Arabidopsis thaliana: one gene and its partners. The protein of the gene in region 2 interacts with the protein of the main gene of each other region in a pairwise test. Each region holds a gene or a part of one and is shown on either strand. Other genes may lie near its edges.

Region 1 (5,446 bases), on a different chromosome or scaffold from region 2:
TTTTAATAAAATAAAAACAAGTGATAAAAATTTATATTATGTGTAAACCATATTGAACCTAGAACACCTCTTAGGGGTTTGGATGATGTATCCAATTAGTTTACACAAAACCTAGAAATGTAACACTTAATAAAAAGAAAACCTTTAAAGTTTTAATAGTAATATAAAAATATAATTCTAAAAATATTTTTTAATAAAAGAAAAACAAGTGTCAAAAATCAAAAATAAGTGTAAACCATATTGAACCTAGAACACCTCTTACGGGTTTGGATGATGTATCCAATTAGTTTACACAAAATCTGAAAATTTAACACTTCATAAAAAGAAAACCCTTAAAGTTTAAATAGTAATATAAAAATATGTTTACAAACATTGTTTAATAAAAGAAAAAGAAGTTTTAAAAATTTATATTATGTGTAAAGTATATTGAATATAAAAATAGTTTAATAATAATATAACTTAATTAAAAAAGTAATAATATAAGTTTGAAATTCTTTTTAATAAAAGAAACAAAAAATAGAAAAGGAAATTAAGAAAGAAATACCTTTGCTTGTGATTGACGAAACACAAGATTTTCAGATGATGTCGCCGGACGGACGGAGGACATGGGAACAGAACCAAACACATATCATGATTTGGTTCTCTACTCGCTAGTCGCTTTCACTGTCCATGTCTTCTAGATATCCTCTTTTCCGCTTTCGCATCCTTCGTCGTCTTGTTCTCCTTCGCCGTCCTCGTCAGAATCCACCGCCGAGATCGTTGATCGAGTGAAATTATGGGAGACTTTGAGACATGAAATCGATCTGGATTGACTTAAGATGTATTCACAACAGAGGATGGAGATAATTCACGAAAAGATATGCTTTCTCTGCTCCGATCAATCTTACGGATGAAGTCAATCTTACGGTTTACTTCATAGTTCTAGAAGAGAACTAGAGAAAGAAAAAGATGAATTTTGTTATTTCTGGATTAGGGTTTCGAAGAACAAGAGAGAATGGGTGTATTTATAAGTAACGTTTGTTTGATGAAAAAAGGAAATTTCGATTGTTTCCTTTTCTTATTTGAGTTGCAAAAACTAAAAGGAAATCTATCACAACGGTAACAAAAGATTCACTTAACCGTCTTACTTTTTATAAAATCATAATTATATACAACACCAATAAATAAACAACTACTGTTTGATATTGCATATATCCATTATAAATTCCACCACCATAACTTCGTATGGATTAAGGCTTTTTTTTTCCTGCCAATTGGTTGTAATCCATATCTCTACAACTTCGAGAGGATGATTTTATTAAACGTAACTTCATTGTTATATATGCAAACATGATATTTGAATACTTTTCGAGTAAACACCATTCATTTTTTTTTCATTAATCTAAAAACGCATTATCGTAATGTATCACAAATCTGCCCTACATTACACAATAATGAAAATTATCAGTGTCTAAATACACCAAACAAAAATTACAAAAAATATATATTACTACACTTGACATTTAGCAAACATAGTTAGATACACAGTAAACAACAACAGACAAATTTTAATTGTGATGCAGCCGAAGAAACACATGTGGAAAACAAGGTGGCACTACCATTTCTCATTTCTGTCTTCAAATATCACCCCTTGTTGTTATTATCATAAATAAAAGTAAACACCTTTAAGCTTTAACGCAACAGTTGAAGCAGCTGAAGATTCTTCTCCTCCTCTGTTCCAAAGTCATTTACAAACAAGATTAAGTATGTTTTATCCAAAAAAAAGAACAACATTATTTATGTCACTTCACATGGTAGGTACAAAATAAAGGATTATGCTTTACTCAGATTGAAAGAAAGAATCCATTATAATAACTTTGTAGGGTAATGTACTACTATAAGTTTACTCTGTTTTAAAATATAGTTTTACATATTCTTTTCAATATTTTATCATCAATATAAAACATACTCTATGCATTCATGTGATTCCTTAACCATATGATCACAATCATATCCAATCAAGATCCAAATCCAACTTAAACTCAAAATCTGAAGTTGTGAAGTTTGGTGGGGTATATAAAATTAATTTCATGTGTAGTCATAAACAGCAATAAGCAACCAACTTGACCAAACATTGAAGGACCACATTTTACCCAATTGCTAGAAGAATCCATATAATGCTTACAATATTAGATTCTCAAACCTAACCAACCCAAGAAGGTCCACATCAAATGAACAATTCACAAACATTATCATCCTATTCATCAAGAAAATATGAATCTTACAATGGATATTCAAAGTGTTAACATGTAAATGCAATCAAAAACATAAGTTTCAAAAGTTTGGTATTGGTATGAGCATGAACAACGAACTAGGGTAAACAATGTGTGACCCAAACAAAATCTACCCATTTTGCCAGAAATAAACCATATAAGGCTAAAAAGTTGGATTTCATATCCTAACCAAGTCAAAACACCTACCTACCGGTTTCAATGAACGCAGGAGCTAATACAAATTCATATACAATGGACTGACATTCAAAACAATGAATCTTTAAGATAGAGCAACAAGAATCTTACAGAAGGAGAGTGTGGGTGATGGTGAGAGAACTCATTGCGGTTGTTGTTGTCACTGTGAACCGTAGTTAGCTTCTTAGGCTTGGCAGTATCAACAGGAGGCTGATCATGAAAAGGGTTAATGAGTTCTTCCTCGTTGCCAAGACTGGCTCGAGAAGCATCTCTCTTGTTGAGTTTCCTCATCTCTCTGATCTTTGAGAAATCCATTGAGTAATCAATTGATCCTCCTTTTTGATCCCAATCTCCAAACTGTGGTACTGATAGCCATGGCGAGTTCTTGTTCTGCCAAATAAATCTCCATTTCAATTACTTTTATTTTCAAGAACCATTAGAAAGAAAAAAACACAATCCTAAAAATCAATCACACAAAAAAAGACTTTTTCACCAAGATTCAGAGACTAATTTCTCACATCAAAATCGAATATTAATGCAAGAAGTTGACATGAACATCCCATTTTATTTAATGTATCACTTTAACTTTAATATTATGTAAGGAGAAAACACAGAAGACGAAGGGATTAGACCAGAAAATAAAAAATAAAAACCTCTTTTCGATCTTCCATGTGATCAAAGCTTCTGTAGCTAGCAGTGAATCCTGTTTTTTTTTTTTATAATAAGTTAAAGATGATCTTAGGAGGAAGATGGGTGATACAGAGCAATTTATAAGCGAAAGAAAAAGTATACCAAAATTTAATACAGCAAAGTAACAGGTCGATTGGTGGTGATACAACTATACTGTACACAACATATCAAAAATATTTTTGTTTTATTTTGTTTTTTTCTGCTTCGGGAAAAGGTTAGCTTTTGTGCATTAATTACGATACTGCCATTCGTTCGGACACGCACACACGCTTAATCCGCGTCAGCTTTGCTCTCATTTCCTGTTAAATGACGTCGTTTAGTATACTGTCGATTAATGGTCTAACCTTTAAGTTATGATATTAAAACATAAGTTTATTGGTGAAGATTTGAAGGCCGGCAACTGATTTTATTAAATTTATAGTGATATGTTTTTCCAATAGCTTAAGCAAAATTTGTTTGGAGTTGATTAGTTCATTTTCATTTATCTTTTTTGTTCCTAGAGCGGTTAGTGAACACTGAATGAATACACACACTGACTCCACTAAGAACCCAAAAAAAAAAACTCACATCATTTTGTGTATTTTGTTAGATAAAATCAAACCTAGCCGACGTTAGTGAATCTGTATCCACTTAAATATCATCTACAGCAACAAAAAAGTCCACAATAAGATATAAATAAGTACGACTTTGCTTCGTCAACTGTATGACTGCTATTAACAATCCCGAACTATTTAGTCATGGAGGCGATTAACATAAATTCATGTTTAATGATGCGAGCCGTTACATGATATATATACATGTTGATTCTTAATTTTCATTTCCAATTTCACTATTTCAGTCATATTTGAGAAAAAAGATGTGTGCTCGTACGTTTTAAGTTCCATGAACAGCCAATTTAAAATTAACGGGTGAATAAGTTGACGCATATTCATTTAAAATTGTAATTACGAATTCAACTTACTAAAACCATATACATAACGACCAAAAACTTAATAAAACTATAAATTTAAAAAGAAATCAAGTTGCGTGACGATGTGGCGTGAAGAGATCCACAGAGAAACTGACGTGGTTGATGATATAGTTAGACACGTGGCAGAGTATGAGAAGTGTCTGTTTTTCAAAGGAGCTATGTGAACCACAAAAGAGGTAACTTCACCGGATTTGTTATCTCTTCAAGACTTCTACCCTCTCTTCTCCTTCTTCCTCACCACAAAATTAGATTCTTTCGTTTGTTTTTTGTGTGTGTTATATTTGTCTTTATTTCATATCCATTTATTGACTTTGTAAGAACATTGCATTGCATGTGGCAGAGAACTCAAAGTTAGTAAAAATGAATACTCCGATTTGTATCACTTCTTTCCTTTGGCATTATATCAAAATATGGTCTTCAAAAACTAGAATTATACAATCGTAGAATGCATTTACTTGTCATTCATAGAAAGTTGCAATACAACTACCATTAGTACTTACAAACATTGCAACCAAATACATTTTTTATTGTAAAATAGTACTCCATACATATTTCATGCTCCATACATATTTCGATTTTTCACTATTTTCATTCCAATTTTTTGTGATAACTGAAGATAATTTTATTGGGTTTTTCTTTTTTGGTCGTCAATAATATTAATTTATTTTCTAAGTATTGATTTTATTTATTGATAATTGATAATGATATATTTTCGAATATAGAGAAAAAAATACAAACTAATAAAAAAATCAAATAAAATCTGGTGGCTCACGCTCAAAACGATAGAGAGAAACTCTTATCAAAGCTTTTGATTTCTCTCTCGAGGGTTTCTTACTCTGCTGCTTCTTCTTCTTCTTCAGTAGAGCGAGATTCTCTCGCGCTCTCTATCGCTACATATAACCATGGGTTTATCAACGAATCTCCATAGCCTCGACCTCCGTTCAACTTTCTTCACCGGTCTACGTACATCTCCAATCCCTTCCAATTTCATCAAAATCTCTTCCATTTCCAACCCTAGACGCGATATCTCCACCATCAGAGCCCAAGTCTCCACCATCAGCCTCGAGACCTCCGTTAAACAGCGTCAAGACGAAATCGAATCTCTTTTCTCGAAGCAACCCTCTCAGCAAGACTCCGATCGGAAACGAAACGGGAAGAGTTCCAAAAACGGAGCTTCTGGGATATCTTCAGGTGTGAAGCTAGAGAACATAAGGAAAAGCTACAAAGGCGTGACTGTGCTTAAAGATGTGACATGGGAAGTGAAGAGAGGTGAGAAAGTAGGGTTAGTTGGTGTGAACGGAGCTGGGAAGACGACTCAGCTCAGGATTATCACTGGTCA
Region 2 (5,808 bases):
TGTTTTTGATCTTGTAAGGTGTGTTTTTTCAGGTCCCGTTCTTGCTTGGCTTATTTTACTGTACAGTATGTTTACTACAACTCCTCTTGGATGATAGAACCTCTATAAAGCCTCCACGTTGCAACCTGTGACAAAACCATAATTTCGCTCTTGTGAGTATGTATTGTTGTGTAGAAGTATAACTATTTTGGGGACAGTGGAAGTGAAACTCTATATGGTTTGGTGAATGAAACAGAGCACTGGTGTTGTTCTTAGAGCTAAGTTCTGAAATCTACAAAGCTGGAGTTTCAGACAACATAGAAGCTTACATTCTATTTGCCTTAGCAGAATTTATTTGGTTCTCTTTGGATAAACTTGGATTGGCTTCACCATTGCCACTCTCCTTGGTGTCGCCTGTCCTTTAGCCGAAATCTTCATAATGCAGTAAGTAAACTGCGCGCTTCAACAACCATCTCTTTGTTTTTTATCAGAAGTCAGTCTAAAGATTGTCATAACCTGGCTTAACAGATTCTTCCATCTGTGGTACTATATATCCAGAAGCAAACATAGAGATCTTTGGCCAGGTAATAAGTGTTTATACAGACATATTCAAACAAAAACATACACATGAATACTCTGTTTCTTTTTGTTTTGTTTTCTGGTGAAGGGATTGGTTACGTGGACGACAACGTGCTACTTCGTCTACACACAGAACTTGCTACAATGGCGTCTTCAAAGCATTGTAGTTTCTGAATACCAGATGATCTGAAAGAAACAGTCATGTGTATGCTTTGAAGACGCCATTGCCCAAGACTTCTTGCAACAAGGGTTTACTTTATTACTAATGATCTGAAACAGAATGCACATTGACATTATGCTTAGGGAATCTTCTTGAATGTCTATCATGGTTATAGTTTGCTCTTCAAAAAATGTCAATCTTAGTACTGGTGGGAATGATGATGACACAACATTCTTGAGTTAAGAAGTTCTCTTTGATCAGTTGGGTGAATTTCTATGGCATCCCATCTGAAACATTAGCGTTCAATGGTACCTCCATAACCAGTAGCATGGCAGAATGTTCTATACAACGGCGTAAGTAAGATCCTTCATTCCAAAGACAAGGCATAACACGTTTGAAACAGCTGATCATATCAAATTAAAATTCCAAGATTCTTAGATAACTAATACATGCCATAAGTACCATTAAATCAACTTCTTAGAATGGAAATGAATTTGTAAAAGAAATGGTACAAGAAATCTAAAAGAAAAGCCTACTCGCTAAACATCCGAGGGTCCAAGTATCTTCAAGATGATAGGAAAAATGCAACGCAACTCACACCAGATGCAAAATGGACGAGATAAACTATTATTGAGCACCACCTCATATGATATATGTTACAACACACACATTGTATATGGAGTTTGGTGCCAGAAAATTCTTAGATATTTAATACATTAAGGAAATCAACTTATAAAGGAAATGAACTCGTAAGAAAGAAAAAAAATAACATTACAAGAAAAACCTCGACTCGCTAAACATCTTGCTTCATTTTGGGCTTTAACGGTCTGTATATCTACACTCTGCACATTCAAGAGAGCAGGAGTATTCATTCGTGGCTCCAAGTGTCTTCAAGATGATAGGAAAAATACAATGCATCTTACACCAGCTGCAAAATGGACGAGATATACTATTATTGAGCACCACCTCATATGAAGTGCCCTCAATTTTTATTGTGCTTCTTCGCATGAGACTTGAAAGGTCTCCAAGCACACACTTTGTATGCAAACTAGCCTGATGATCTTTACACGTATAGAACCATGTATGTGGATTTGTTTCTTTTTCACAAATGTCACACCAATATTTACCACTTGCCTTTTCGCCATAGCATAGTGAGAGAGGATGATCATGAACTCTATGCTTTACCATTTGTGGTAAAGTGGCGCATCCAAAGCATAATAAAAATCCACAATTATCTTCAATGCAACTAAGCACAAAGTCCTGCTCCATGTTGCAACCAGTGCACCATTGTACTTCGTCTGATGGAAAGTAATATAAGGGATGATTAGGATGACTTGGATGGATATGTGGCTCAGAAATTGAAATGCACCGAACATCGAATGCCTTATTCCCATGCTGGTACTTGAAACCATTGGACAATCTATCACAAGCATAACACCTAAAGCCTTCATCCTTGTTTGTAACCAACGTAAGACGTTCATTGTGTAGCACATGCCATTTCATTCTAAGAAATCCAGCGCAGTTTTGGTGGAGAATGAAGTTACAATCCATACAGCCGTAGAAAGACTGGAGACAGATGGGATGGGTGCATGCCTTGCACCGCTTGTTGTCATCACATAGAACACCATTAACGTTGAGTCTTAGGTAATGCTCTTTGTGACTAAAATGTTGTATTGTGTTTTCATCTATCACCACATATGGCTCTATATCTTCTGTTTCTTCGGGTAATCCTTCAAGTTCTTTCCCATTCCACACATCTTTTCTAGTAGCACATTTTGAATGAACAACATAGCCATGACACCTCTGACAAGAAAAACCTCCATAAGACCAGTCCACCTTTTTGCGACAAACTCCACATACAGAATTCACAACACCAAGAACAGAAGTTCGAGAAACACGGTGATCATGCCGGTTAATGTTGATGAGGCGTGGAAGGCCAAGACAGTCTTGATGGATCATGAAACCACATTGAAAACATACGTAAGGGCTACGATCTCCCTTCAGCCCGCAAGCATTGCATGTAAAAGAATCGAGTTTTGGGAGAAGGGTGAGTTGGTGATCATGAGCTTTCAAATTCAGAAGAGATTGTTGTGGTGGGCGCAAAACACAAACCTTGTCCAAGGTAAAGTTACACGGAGAACAATGGAAAAAAAATGTTTCATCAATCTTTCTTGCGCAAAGACGACATTTCCCATCAGAATAATCCGGTAACTGACCCTTTGCGTAGAGTTTAAGAGGGTGTAAAGAGTGGTAAGAATGGTTTACCTCTAAACGGAGTTCTAGTTCGGGCGGATACCATACGCAATCCACATGAAAGGATAAATCACATTCATGACAATTGTAAGGAAACTCATTACCAATAATCTTGCAACATTTAGCACATATACATTGCTTGATCCACTTCTTGAGAAGGGTAAGCCTGTGGTGATGCGTCTTGGAAATGTCAATAACCTCTGGTGGTGGATACTTTGAGCAGTATAAATCCATGTCGAAGTCACATAGATCACAACGATAGAATATTGGGCACATCCTTCCACACAAATTGCAGAAATTAGTAGGTCTTTCAGGTCTTAGCAGCTGAAGAGTGTGCTTGGGGTGAGATGGATGCTTGATATATTCGGAGGGCTCGTCAGCACAATTTTTTCGGACGAAAAAATCGCAGGTTTTGCAGTAGTATCCATCACTGATAGCTTCAAAGCGTCCACAGCAACCACAGCAAGGACCTCTTTTCAGATTTTTCCAAGGCATCATAAGATGCTCGTGGATCAACGGCATTAACACTCCCTTAGAATCCATGGTCGTTTACTAAGAGATTTTGAAGAAGAAGAAGTTGGATATGAAATCTCAAAGCTAAGTTTCTTTCACGTTTCTCTCTCTCTCTCAAAAGTCTTCTCTCTTTAATTTCAACGATGCTCTTATGAAAAAGAAGATTGGATCTGAAATCTCAAAGCTAAGCTCCTTTCTCTCTCAAAAGTCTTCTCTGCGTTAATCTCAAATCCTCAACGATGCCCTTACAAAATTATTTTTTTATTAGACTTTTGGTTTTATTGGTCTTTCATTAACAATAAAAAATAATTAGGCCCAAAACCCGCACCGTGCCGGTTTTTTCATGCATTTTGTTAGTTATAATAATTAATAATTTACATCAACTGAATTAATTTTATAAACAATCGTTTTGGTGTTTTTTTCTATGATTATCATTTTGATGTATCTTCTAACTCTCAAGTAAATGATTCATTCTATTTATTATGTTTATTTATTTATTTTTAGTTACAATGTTTAATATTTATTTACAATTACTTAACTTAGATATACAAAAAAATAAATTATTATCTTTAAAGTATTTTAAGGGTTTTGTGCAAAAACCACTATACCTCATCCATTTTTGCAACTTCAACCTCTACCTCCATCAAATACAGATTAATCATTAACAATATAAAATAATATGCATTATAACCCTCTTTTGCCTTTTTTTTTGTTACCAACAATTTTGTAAAATATCGATAATAATATGTTAAATTAAAACTTTCGCGAAGAAGAATTTAACTTTACCTTCAAAATTTTAAAAATCTAATGTATATAACCGTAAAAACGTTTACAATATATATATATATATAAAGATCATATTTTGTATTATTTTAGACTTCATAAAAATAATCTGCATTTATTGGAGGTAGAAAATAAAGTTGCAAAATGGATGAGTTAGCACAAAACCTTATTTAAAAGTAAACGGAAAAATAGTTTTACAATATCAATCATTAGTATTATTTTATTAAAATGAACCACTAGTTTAAAATAGTCAATTTTTAATTCTTTAGTCGTATCAATTAGCACTATTTATATAAAAAATGAAAATGAAAGAAATCTAAAAACATTGGATTCGGATCCATTTTTAAACTCTGAACTATTTTTTTATGAGCTGGATATCTCAATTATTTTTTAATTCACTAGATCTTGGAATTAATATTCATATTAACGTTTGAAACAGCTAGATCGTCAAAGTCAAAATTGCAACATTCATAGATAAATAATACATGAAGGAAATCAACTTATTATAATGGAAATGAACATGTAAAAGAAATGGTACAAGAAATCTAAAAGAAAAGCCCACTCTCTGGACATCTTGATTCATATGCATTACATAGCGCAATAACCAGTAGTTGGCATTATGTTCAATACAACGGCGTAAGTAAAGATCCTTCATTCCAAAGACAAGGCATAATTGTTTGAAACAGCTGATCATATCAAATTAAAATTGCAAGTTTCTTAGATCTAATTTCTTTTTTTTTTCTTTTCAAAAGAAAGACACAAATCTTGGCTTGCCTTAAAACGTGTGTACATGTTGATAAAACATTTTCATTTCGGTCTCTAGATTCTGCGAATAATAATGAATGGAGTCTGTGTTTGGTTTCATGTTGAATCAATCAAGATGTGTTTTTAACTGTAAATGAATTATGCAGAAAACATCTGTCCTGGTTCTCAGACATCGGAACTCTGTTCCTAATAAAAACTGAAGTCCCTGTTTTTATGTTAGTAATCTGAAACAACAATTGTTTGAAGACGCCATTGCCAAGATTTCTTGCAACAATGGTTTACTTTCTTACTATTTCTAATGATCCTGAAACAGACTATACAATACGTTGAGAAAGAAGCGAAAAGCTGACAATCATGATAATGCAAGACTGATAGTATTGTGTTGTTCATTTTCAAGGTGAAATTTTGTAGAAAACGAATGTCAGAAAGCATTTGAAACAGCAAGATCGTATCAAACTAAAATTGCAAGATTCTTAGATAAATAATACATTAAGGAAATCAACTTATAATGGAAATGAACTTGTGAAAGAAATGGTTACAGGAAATCTTTAAGGAAACCCCACTCGCTAGACATCTTAATTCACACTCATTGCATTAGCGCAATAAGGAGAGCAACAGTATTTTTGTGAGGCTCCAAGTCTCTTCAAGATGATAGGAAAAATGCAACGCAACTCACAACAGCTGCAAAATGGACGAGATACACTATTATTGAGCACAACCTTATATGATCTGCTCCAACGCCTTAATGTGCTTTTTGGCATGAGCCCTAAAAATTT
Region 3 (5,837 bases), on a different chromosome or scaffold from region 2:
CTTTACTGCTTCTGATACAGGTGTTTCCGCTTGAATCTCTATCACTACGATCAAACAAAACACTAATTGAATCTAAACCATTGCCAAGTCTCAAACTTTAAACGAGAAATCAGGAAATTTGGAGGAATCGAAAAAAATGGGATCTTTCTAATTTTTACCTCTGCCGCCGGGGACTTGAGGGAAGGAGGAGACTGGGATTCCGGCGAAAGCAGAGTTTAGGGTTTCTTGAAGAGATTTGGGTAGATTCTTCCTTGATTGTACTTTCTCGAAATACGCTTCACAGCTTGAAACCGCCGATTTTATCTCCTTATCTTCTACCGCTTCACTTCCCGCCATGTCTTGATACCGGCTCAATTTGAAGAATTTCAAACAAATCTACGATGATTTTAGATTGGAAACGATGAAACCCAGAAGAAAAAAAGAGAGCTTTTTTGGTTAAGGAAAAAAAAAAGAGAGAATTTAGAACAGTGGTGAGTGTGGTCGGATAAGCAACGTGTCGGAGATGGACCTTTGGTTTCGCTTTTCTGGCGGTTACGCGCGTCCTGATGAAGTGCATTGACACGTGACGTTATAATAAGTGGTCGTGTGTCAAAAGAGTTTAACAGCGTTATAACCGGAGTCGCTGACGTGGATGGGCCGAATTCTAAGATAGAAAACGGTAGTAACGGGCCTGAGCCCAAGATTGATTTAAAAGTAATATCTGATGGATCATAGTTTCATACGTTTTCTTTCTTTTGGTCATTTTGTTTTCTTTCCTTTTTAAGAATCGACCATCTAAACATTTAGGTGGCTCAAACAATTCAGACATCTTCATTTCGGTCAAATTCATCACAAATTTATATTTGATAATTGAGGGAAGTAAAATAATCAATTCTTTTATGTAAATAATTTTAATGGTGACTACAATTTTGACCATCAAATTAGTAAATGTCTGTAGCAAAAAATAATAATAATCAAATTAGTAAACAATACGTATGTGATTTCAAATAATAATACGTTGTGTTGATAATTTGTCAAATAACCCACTATTTTATGTGATGCTAACTAAAGTTTATTTTGTAAAAATCAAACAATTTTGCAAAAGTGAAAGAGGGAGATTTTGTCAATCTGCATGAAAACCACCTTCCATTTTAGATATCATTGTGTCATCATAGTCATACTTACTTAATTCACCAACAAAAAAAATTAACATTGTATTTAAAATTTTTATAAGCATAAAAAAATATTTGGTGTATCAAATTTGTGTAGACCATTAATTTACAAAACCTTCATATACATATATAATCCATGATATGATAGGTAATCCACTAATTTAAACATTTGGATATCTACAAGTATATAAGCATTTTGCATATCATGCCAAAACCAGATCTCTCTTTCAGAGGCTGAAAAACAAATGAATGACAAAGAAAACGGAAATCAGTTACTTTCTAGACTTGTGTCTAGCTATACCGATACAGTTACTGGCTTATTGCTGTCCGGAAAGTCTCGTTCGATAACGGGCCAATAATGAATCTGTACTCAACGGAGCTTGTGTTCGCAAGCCACTAAAGTTCAAGGTGTGGTCATGCGATGATGGAGGTGGAGGATCTGGAGAGGAAAAGTTGAGACTGAAAGAGGAGGACGATAGAGGGTAGTCGTCTGGTAACTGATTGGGATAGTTTGGTCGTGTGAGGTCCAATGTTACAGTCGGGTGCGAGTTAGTGGTGGAGATAGAGAAGTGGTGAAAAGGGAAGAAATAGCTTAGACTCGCTGAGGTGGAGGAGGAGGAAGAGGAGGAGCCAGATTGTAATAAGGAGGCAGCCGCGGAAGTTCCAGCTGCCATGTGGCTTGCTTCCATGGGGAGAGGATGGTCATGGTTTCCTTCGTACGTTGTCATAAAAGCGGAGGTTTCTTCTTCTCCACATCTTTGCACCTATAGACATTCGTTTTAAAAGTTTTTACTCAAAACCAATTGTTAATAAACAGATATTTGGATTGAGAAATTATAGAATGTATTATACCTGTTTTCTAACGGGACAATTTGACGACATGGAGCAACGGTAATAGGCTCGTGGGAGAGGATTGGTTTTCGCAGTCTTTTGACCATATTTCCTCCACTGGCAACCGTCGTTTATCTATATATATTCATGTAACGTGTATATGATCAAATAATTAAATTAGATGTGAAATGGTAAATAAACACATATATGTAATGTATGGTTTTGATGGTACGTACTGATGGGTCTTCACATGATGCTTTAACACAAACCCTAGTTTTCTTCAAACCTGTTTGTTCATGCTCCTCCAAAACATCTTGATGGTTTTCATTTCTAACTGATTTGACATCTTTCCTCGAAGATACACATTTATTTTCAGCGTTTGCAAGCTTAACCTGCCTACAAAGATCATCTAGTTTCGAGGCTTCATAGCTTTGAATCTGAAATCCAAAACCCAGTGCAGATCTTTTATCTTTTGACTCCTCTACGTTCTTAGTAGAAATCTTGTCCACCTTATTTTCCTCCTTTTTAGAGATCTTTTGCTCTGATCTTCCAAGCCTAAGTGATATATCCACATCATAGTCGTTATTTTCATCTTGACGATCAATGTGGTCTAGCTCCATAGACGAAGCTCCTTGTTGTTGTCCGAGAACTTTAGAGACTTGCATTTGAAGAGAGTTGTAATTATTAAGAATCGTAGAGAGTAAGAGCTTTAATTTCTCATTTTCTTCCCGAACTTTCTCCACCTTTGCTTTTGTTGCATCAAGCTCCTCTTCCTGTAATATCCAAGACACATTTATATTCACTTTTTATCTAAAAACTGTTTGGACCTATCTTCTAAACTTCTACGATAAATAGTTCTCAATACACACAAAGTAAATAGTATTATAAAAGTGAACATGATCGAATGCCAATAAAGAAAAAAAGAAAAAAAATGGATCGATCCGACCTATATTAATTAGAGCGGATCTTAATTATAAATGTTTTCATCCGAAGTTTTCTAAATACCGGAAAATCTTGGTATCCTTGAGCATTAAATAACCGTCCCAAAAAAAATAATGAACTTTCGATACTCGAGACCATTTCCGAACAAGCAAGTTGACTTTTATCAGATGCAGTAAAACTGTATTAATTTCAGACATAAGAATTATATGGTAACTATATGTAAATATATAACAGAATCATATGATCATGAGATTAATTCTAACCGATTGAAACACCAGAAGGAGATTGAAAATAAAACAAGAATTAGAGAAATTTGTGGTTTAAACGGTTAAATCGAGAAATAGTGTTTTGTTTTACCTTGTCAGATTCTGCCATAACACCATCGAAAGTTTGGAAGTATGAAACGGTCTCCTCTTTGATCATGCTATTATATGATTCAGATGCGATCTTGAGATCAACTGGATCTGCTCTTTTTGTTTTTCTTCTTTACATCAAAAAAAAAATTATTGTCGTTTTCTTTTGCCTAACTAGGTTTTTATAGGAAGGGACCCAAAGCCAACAGACTTTGACTTCGCATTTTAATAAGAAGATATACAGACTAAAAATATTGTTTATAATGGTAATCACCACCACCATGTTACCAGCTTCGTCTCTATTCTTGAATAATCTCAACCAGACGACTCAGCATTATATAATAAGATAATGCCAATCATATAAATAATATCAAATTGTATTGCAATCCAGATGGATCTGGTCTGAACACTACTTCGGAATATTTCGTTTTTTTTTTGTTAATTGGCATCATAATTAAAGCATAGTAGTTGACATTGAGGCAACTAAAACAAGTTTTTTCTTTCTTTCTTTCGTCTGTACCGGAGTACCGGAGTACCAGATCATACTAGTTCTTCGCTAACATAAAGCTGTATGCATGGGAAACAAAAGCTGAGAGAGAAAAAAAACAATATTTTCTCTCTTTTTTCTTAGACCTAATATATGTCAAAAATTAATCCACAATCATTCTTTATAGGCAGTTCAGGGGTGAATGTATTTTTTGTGATATATTTGTATGTTTACTAGCTAGTTTTTAGATAAATTTTCTTTAACATTTAACGATATCTATTAAATATAAGAAATTTATATGTATCTTTAATCCTATAAAAATACACATATACTGTATACGCATAAATTTATGATCGGAACAAATATTCTAATTTTTTTTATTTATGTGCTATATTTTGATCTTTTTCAAATTGAATAAAGCAATCTATTTATCCAGCGTTAATCACTAACGGACACCGCATGAAATGAGTGCATTTTGTAAAAGAAACTTTCAGCTGTAAAACGCATTTTGTTCTCTGATCCAATGAAAAAATGACACATCATCGATCTGCAGCTACTTAATTACGTTGACCAGTTGGCAGAGTTGATTAAGTTTATGTTAGTCTTAAATTGCTAATTAATAGACACTGCATGAATTTTATAATGTTATAAAATTATAAGAATTTCATAATGAAAAGTTTATGAAATGTTAATTTATGACTAATGCAAGAACTTTCTATTTGGAAACGTAAGTTAAGGGGTTTATTAAAGAATAGTACAATATTAGAAAGGCTGCTTTATTGAATGATAATACAAACAACGAATGGTCATTTTATATTAGTTGAATACTTTATCGAATAACTTTTCTTTTTGGTGAAGATCAAACAGAGCTTTTTTCATCTTCACACGCATCAATGAGATCATAAGAAACCGAGCAGTACTTTTTTCAATCATAGAATACAATTATAACAAGCTATATCATGCAACTCAAAGTTTCTCCAGACTGGTCTCTTGTTCGACTCCTAAAATTCATCTTCCACAATCCGAGTGGGTTTACACCGTCGGCTTCAAGATTTTAACTAGGATGGACTTCCTTAGAAACTACATTTGCTTCTTTTAGTGTGTTAACCAGAAAAAAAAAAGATTTTCAACTAAAACTGAGACAATTAGGATTCCGAATACAATTTACATTGTTTGGGGATATTTCTTATAGCTCCACACAAACTTTTATTTTGAACTTATACTCCATCATCGTTAGACGATTTCGTCAAATCTCGTCTTAAACCTGAATCATTTGTCTATGGAAGTAATTTTATTTATTGTTTTAATATATTCGTAACGAGCAGCTAAATCACTAATACAGACATATATAAGGATTTTATAATTAAAGATTCTTCTGAAATTATCCTATTTCAAATAAAGTATACTTTTTAGATTAAACATTTAAATTTATATCCGAAATGTCATTGTAAATTAATAATATTCGATTTCGTGGCCTTGAAGTCGACCAATAATAAGGAGAGAAAGGAGCGCAGGATCCGGTTTTATTTCTACCATATATACGATGTCATTCCAATCTAGTGGTATTATAATAATCTAGATAGTTGAAATATTTATAATTTTAAAAATGCAAAAAATAATTTTTTATTACACAATAATGATATTATAGTCAATGATCTCTTACATCGTGCTCCAGAATCCATCGCATAATTTAAACTGTATCGTAATGGCTAAGTCAAATTTTGGTTATTTAATGTTGCATATTACTTTTATTTTTATTTTTGTGACATTGTTGCATATTACTATCATCTCGCAAGTCACACTTTACCAAAAAATTTAATCTCACAAGTCACAAGTGTTCTTTCAAAAACGGATCCGATCGGCTTATAATATTGGTCGAAACACGAACGGACCAACCCGGACGGGTTGAATCTTAAATTATCAAAAATGATGCGGAAAAGCACAATTTTTTTTTATTTCAAGGCTCTTTAGTTCTCATTTGTCGTCACAAGAATTCAAAGAAAAAAATTACATCTTGTTTAAAAGGTGTTTTATTGAATGTGTGTACATCCGAAAGTCGCTCATTGGCAAGGT
Region 4 (6,002 bases), on a different chromosome or scaffold from region 2:
CAATACTTAACCGATAAGTCCATCGAGGTGTTACATACATGTAAGCAGGCTTTTGACCCCACATTTCACCCAACCATTCGACGTTTCCTACGACTATCTTGAGGTTAATATGTTTCCATCTTTATTCATTATGTCTGATTCTCTTTTGACATTGCACTATACATTGTGACCATTGTTACTTGTTTTTCTAGGTAAGCCGAGTTATGACAATATGGAAACCACACTTTGAGAAAATACAAGTTGCCTTAGAGGCATATACTGAAAACGTAAGACATGGCTTCGAAAAGTTGGTTAACTGGACAAAATCTTTGGGAGGACAAAAGTAATATCTATTTTCTTGTTTGGTTTTTACGGCTACCAGCAATTGCCGGGTGGTTTCTTTCCCATTTTTTTTTAGTAATTGGGATGGGAGACGCTCTCTTTAATCATTTTTCGTATTTTTTTTTTCTTATTTTGGATGGTGATGGTGTTACCAGATTCAAAATCAGAAGATTCATACCACCGATGTCTTCATCCAGTGTCATGTTGATTCGTTTGAATCGTACTATATTCATAAATATAAAGTTTGTTTTCGGTGGTCTCACTCACCAGCGCCATATATGATTCTCAACCGACGGATTTTCTCCTAACGGTTTGGCTAGAAGTCATTTGGATATTTGATCCGTGAATCAATAACCAAATATGAATTTGACCTCTGAGATAACTTCTCATTTCTAGTTTTCTAATTTCATCCCTACGCTAAATGCACCAATTGTCCCTTATTTCGTGAAGCACGCGACACATGCTTTGGCTAAGCCACATAACCTACACTTGGTAGCATTTGAGATATCAAACTTTGGTTTTCAAAAGTTCGACATCTTGTGATACTAATTGGTCGAAAAAAAATCACAACCAAAACGATTAAAAAAAAAAGTTGAAAATGAAGAGTTGACTTCTTTAATCCTCGAGTCTTGATAATAGAAGAGATAGAAAAATAGAAAACGATAAATTTAACAAAACTAAAACTTTCTCATTTAGGGAACATGAGCCTCTTTAGGAAACTTTTTCTTTACGTCTACTTTTAAATTCATTACAATTACATAACTATTTATTTATATAAATGAACTTCTTGCTAAATTCATATGGTAGGGAGGATATTATTACATGAATAATTTGAGTGATGTCTACCAAATCTCTGGTCCTAAAACCACTCTGTGATTTCAAGGTTAATAACATTGATTGAAGCAGAAAAACAAACCTTTTCGTTTGTCTTCACTTTTGGCCTTTGGAGTTTCCCCACATTCATCAAGCTTAGCCATCAAAGAGCTAGTTCCAGGAGAATCCGGTGGCAATAGCGTGTTCTTCGAAGCAAGAATCCGTTGTGGAATAGCGGATATCGGAGATCCAACTTTAGAGAGATAGTTAAGAAGTAACTCAATGATATGCGTGAAGTTGGGCCGAGCATTCGGATCCTCATTCCAACATGATGTTACAATGTCGCCCAACTCCTCCGGTAAGCTCTCCGCGCTTGGTCTCACATTCTGTATAAGAAACATGTCAAAACAAAGAGAATAAAGTTCAGCGAAAATCAAAAGCAAAACAAGACAGTGTTACACACTTTGAAGGCTGCTGCATATGCTGCTTGGAGATTTGACATTCCCTCAAAAGGCAATTTATTGTGTAAAAGCTCCCAAAGAACTATTGCAAAGCTATAGGCGTCGACTTTATGATTGTAGTGCTTCTTCTCTCCCAATCGAAGAGTTACCGTGCTGTACAACTGTAATATTCCACCAAGATTGTCTTTAAGTAGCAAAGAGAAGCACAAGAAATGAACAAATATGTCTATAAGTAAAGAAGAACCTCAGGTGCCATCCATCGGTATGTTCCTGTCTCAGCCGTCATCATCTCAGTCAGTGACTCTTCTCTTGCTAATCCAAAATCTGCTAGTTTTACTGTTTTATGGTCTGCAGTTAAAAGCAAGTTCTCTGCAAAACAGAACAATAGATCCTTTAACACCATCTTCAACACTTAAGATTAAATCTTAATCATAACCAGAATATTAAAAGAACTTGAAGCGTGTGTGGTGTCAGACAATAAAAAAGAAAGAAAAGATTCTTTGTGATTGAGATCTGAGCATGTGGTTTCCATGAAGCAAGGTGTTTTGCAAATACTTTAAGCAGATCATTAAATGATACATATCAGGTTTAAAGAGGTAGTTTTACCGGGTTTGAGATCACGGTGAATGATCCCATGGGAATGCAAGCATTCCATACCACGAGCAATATCAAGCGCAAAACCGATAGCCACACGAGTCTCCAAACATGCGGGTCTCAAGTTTAATAGATATTTACGCAATGTACCGCCTTGAAGAAGTTCTGTAACTATCACCATTACAGGCTCCTTGCAAGCACCAATGAACTGATCCAGAGACAAAACACAATCATGAACTCATGAAACCCTTTAAGCTAGTAACAACAAAAACAGCCATAGATCTCAAGAAACAAGAACCTTGACCAAATTCTTGTGTTGAACACGTGAGAGCATTTCTACTTCTCTAAGGAATCTTGAATCTCTTTTAGCAATCTCTTCTGGTGTTTCTCCTCTGTGAACTATCTTTATAGCAACTGTCTGATTCTTGTATCTGTCTCAGATCATAACGACCAAACACAGTAGAGATCCATTAAAAACTCCAACTTTACAATTTCAATAATTCAACTAGACAAATCAAGATAGATGAGTGTACCAAACAAGCATTTTATTCATACCCTTATAGAACAAATACTAGACTTCACTTACCCACAAATCAAAATCCAAACTTTCCCAATAATCTCATAAGCAAATCAAATCCAGAAAGTTAACAAAGAAGAAGAAAGGAGCTTACTTTCCCTCATAGACTTTAGCATGAGCTCCTTCACCAATCTTTGGACCAACAAAGAGAAGCTGAGGATCAATTTGCCATTTGGGTTCCATTCTAAATCCAGTCAAAGAATCCATTGCAAGATTACTTCAAACCTTGCAACCACATTTTTTCTCGATCTGAAATACCAAAAAGACTTGTCCTTTTTTTGTTTGATCACTTTCTTGATTTGTATCTATGAAGATTTGAGAGCTCACAAGACAAAGAAGAGAAGAGAAGAGATAAGTAAATAGCTAACATGCCCTTCGATGAGGCAAAAGCGAAGTATCTTCACATGTCCGTAAATTAAGCACAAGTCTTAGAGAGAGAAGAAGGCGACACCAGGCAAGCTCTCCCCCAACTAAAATTATATATGTATTTATAAAATAGAAAAAACACAATGGATAAGAGAAGATTCTTAACAAAACTAAGAGAGAAGAAGCAGAGCAAGAAATGAATCAGTGGAGAATGGATCTGTGAGTACAAACAACAACACTGGTTCACTTTGGTTTTTGGGTTTTGTAATAAGAAACTTGAGGGATTCACTTGTTCTGTTTTGGAACTAGCAGAGACTTCTTCTTGATGTGGAGAGGGAGATAGAGAGACAGAGAGAGTTATGAGTATGGAGTGGTAATGATAGGATAATAAAAAGATAAACCAGAAGAAGTTTATATGATTGATTGGTGAAACATATCACATGGTTCAAAATTTCTTGCTTTTGTTTCTCAAAACATTCTTCTGAGTTTTAGGTTTAATTTGAGTAATATTCAGAAGCAAATATTGGCTATAAATAGGGAATTTTTATGCTTAATTATTATTTATATGTGACATTTGGAACCAAATTTGATTGTGTAACATGAACCAAGTAGGTTGCTTTGTGGTCAAAAGCAAAGAGATTCATTAGTACTATACACACCTATAATGCTTCCATTGTTCTTCTTTAGTTCTGTAGCTTCTTCTTTGCATTTCATCATCAGAGAAGCTTTGCTACAACAACACATGAACACTAGTTGATTCACACTAGCTAGAGTTTAGCAGATCATTACCAAGATGAGGGATTTTCAAGTTTGGGCAACTCCCAAGAAATGTTTTTAACCATTTCCAATTAGGTACATAAATATCAGCATACATGTGGGACATGTAACCAAACCGAGGAAGCGGTTCTAATTTTGAGTATTGATAGATGATCTCGAACCAAAAAGAAAAGTAATGTAGGTCATAAACTTTCATGAATCATGATAGAGAACGTACATGTCTTATACTGGAATTGACATGACATATATAGCTTTAAAGTGTTTAGATATATGATCATTTCCCCGACATTTGAAATCCCGAGCAGAAAATTGTGGATGCTACTTCTCCTCGATGAAACCCTTGTTGCTTCATCAAAACTGTCCAAACCAAAGGCGAGATAAACATTTAACTTGGCAGTGGAACTCAAATTGTTTATTAAATAACTTCCAGCTTGGTCATCATCAATAAACAAATCGCGTAAAAGAGGAGCATCAGTCACAACTCCATATTTATCTTTATATGTACTTGTACAACCGTAGAATCGCATAGCTTTATTTTGAGTCTCTTGATCAGTGACAAAAAAATTCAGCCGGAATGACTTCCGGAAGATTCCAACATTCAACAATATTTAACTCTTCCAATACAGGATAGCAAGAGACAAGTCTTGCAAAGGTGGCCTCACTGGGAGACCAAATACGTTACAAATGCATAACAGCATAAGGTAAAGAAACGAACTCGGCATCATCCATGGTCACATCAACGAGATTTAAGGATACCCGAGTCTTGCAGCTAGAAAAACATGGGGATATTACAAATACCATCTGAAGGACAACAAACATGAAGATGTTGTACCTTACGTTTAATCGCAGAATCAATCCATGACGTGAGAAAAGAGGCATCATATCATCATCTACATTGTTCAGATTTGTATCTTCGTGAAGATGTAACTTAAGCGTGTTTATGATATAAATCATAAACAAAAACCATAAGATATCTCAAGTTAACAAATCCATTCTTAGATTTGTGTAAAAGAATATAAAACATATTTCTTATCGGGCTGACGTATTTGTTCTAAATATCTCACCAGTCTAGTGAAAGTGTCGCAACGTAGTACAACGTATTGTATGTTTAAATGAGTGACAAGAGGTAGCAAATTGTATGTGACGTCATCTAAATGGATATGAGATATTACAACAACCTTTTTAAAATTTATAATTGAGGATCTTTTGTAAGTATATTTTAGACATGTAATTGGTTTTACTTAAGGTTTTCTTCCTTATTTTATTTTAGAAAGCTAAACTAATTTTGTAGTATAGTAGAGAAGAAAACTGTAAACTTTCTGATCCCATTTATTTATAGTGAAATATGCAGTGGCAGGAAATTAAGATCATTTTTGGTTTTATTTCCTTAACCATTTTTAATATCAAAATTGCGATCAGAATCCCCGATTATGATATGAAATAACTCAATAAATATTTTTCGTATTAGAAAGATTAAAACATTTTTTTAACATCTAAAGATTAATTCTATAGAAAATTGTAACTATAGAAGTATTGAATAAACATTTAAAGCACACATACATTATGTATATATTAAAATTAAAATTCGAATAAATAAATACACAAAAGGGGAAAAATCATTCACAAAAATACATATATTTTTGTTATATACAAAAGTGATATGTAAATACTCTCTAACAACAAACAATCTTCATGAGACTAACCACGAGGATTTGCTTCTCTAATCAGAACCCTGAACAAGCTCATCGCCACGTCCGCCGTGATCGTCTTCCCCCTCCGCGCTAAAACACGGCGACGTGTACCCGAAAAGGCCAGTAAGACGAGGACCGTTATCCACGCAACCATGGTGGCTCGTGCTGCTGCCACCAGTAAAACAAGCGACAAGGCTGCAGCGAGGAAGAAGCCGATGAACAGAAGGAGTTGATAGAGCGGATTCGTGACAGATTTAGCGGTGGAGATTGTGTAGAATGAAGAAACAAAGAAGATGAGACATGAGAGAGTAATGGTGGTTGTTGCTCTACTTTTGCAAAGATCCATAGCTTTGTGAATGTGAAGTCAAAAGTGGTTGTTTAAATTTTTTAAGTTAACAACAA

Evidence for each region.
Region 1: the proteins of AT4G01920 (region 2) and AT5G64850 interact in a two-hybrid assay, tested with the Arabidopsis thaliana proteins (one large-scale study listed by BioGRID).
Region 3: the proteins of AT4G01920 (region 2) and WRKY36 interact in a two-hybrid assay, tested with the Arabidopsis thaliana proteins (one large-scale study listed by BioGRID).
Region 4: the proteins of AT4G01920 (region 2) and AT5G50180 interact in a two-hybrid assay, tested with the Arabidopsis thaliana proteins (one large-scale study listed by BioGRID).

What each region holds. Positions count from the first base shown.
Region 1 is NC_003076.8:25,919,257-25,924,702, reverse strand, and holds AT5G64850 (sorbin/SH3 domain protein), read right to left. Parts: upstream 3,302-5,446; 5' UTR 3,119-3,301; coding exon 3,101-3,118; intron 2,838-3,100; coding exon 2,559-2,837; intron 1,713-2,558; coding exon 1,665-1,712; 3' UTR 1,285-1,664; downstream 1-1,284. Other genes in the region: ABCF5 (general control non-repressible 5), read left to right, coding at 5,010-5,446.
Region 2 is NC_003075.7:827,566-833,373, forward strand, and holds AT4G01920 (Cysteine/Histidine-rich C1 domain family protein), read right to left. Parts: upstream 3,724-5,808; 5' UTR 3,515-3,723; coding exon 1,538-3,514; 3' UTR 1,261-1,537; downstream 1-1,260. Other genes in the region: AT4G01915 (uncharacterized protein), read left to right, coding at 33-65, 508-563, 647-732; AT4G01925 (Cysteine/Histidine-rich C1 domain family protein), read right to left, coding at 5,608-5,713.
Region 3 is NC_003070.9:26,275,770-26,281,606, forward strand, and holds WRKY36 (WRKY DNA-binding protein 36), read right to left. Parts: upstream 3,487-5,837; 5' UTR 3,348-3,486; coding exon 3,282-3,347; intron 3,103-3,281; exon of another isoform or gene 2,756-3,102; coding exon 2,219-2,755; intron 2,118-2,218; coding exon 2,004-2,117; intron 1,916-2,003; coding exon 1,469-1,915; 3' UTR 1,179-1,468; downstream 1-1,178. Other genes in the region: AT1G69800 (Cystathionine beta-synthase (CBS) protein), read right to left, coding at 1-44, 159-375, 509-556. UniProt on the Arabidopsis thaliana protein: Transcription factor. Interacts specifically with the W box (5'-(T)TGAC[CT]-3'), a frequently occurring elicitor-responsive cis-acting element.
Region 4 is NC_003076.8:20,428,087-20,434,088, reverse strand, and holds AT5G50180 (Protein kinase superfamily protein), read right to left. Parts: upstream 3,637-6,002; 5' UTR 2,974-3,636; coding exon 2,861-2,973; intron 2,621-2,860; coding exon 2,488-2,620; intron 2,398-2,487; coding exon 2,202-2,397; intron 1,965-2,201; coding exon 1,840-1,964; intron 1,757-1,839; coding exon 1,598-1,756; intron 1,521-1,597; coding exon 1,206-1,520; 3' UTR 943-1,205; downstream 1-942. Other genes in the region: AT5G50175 (uncharacterized protein), read right to left, coding at 5,608-5,946.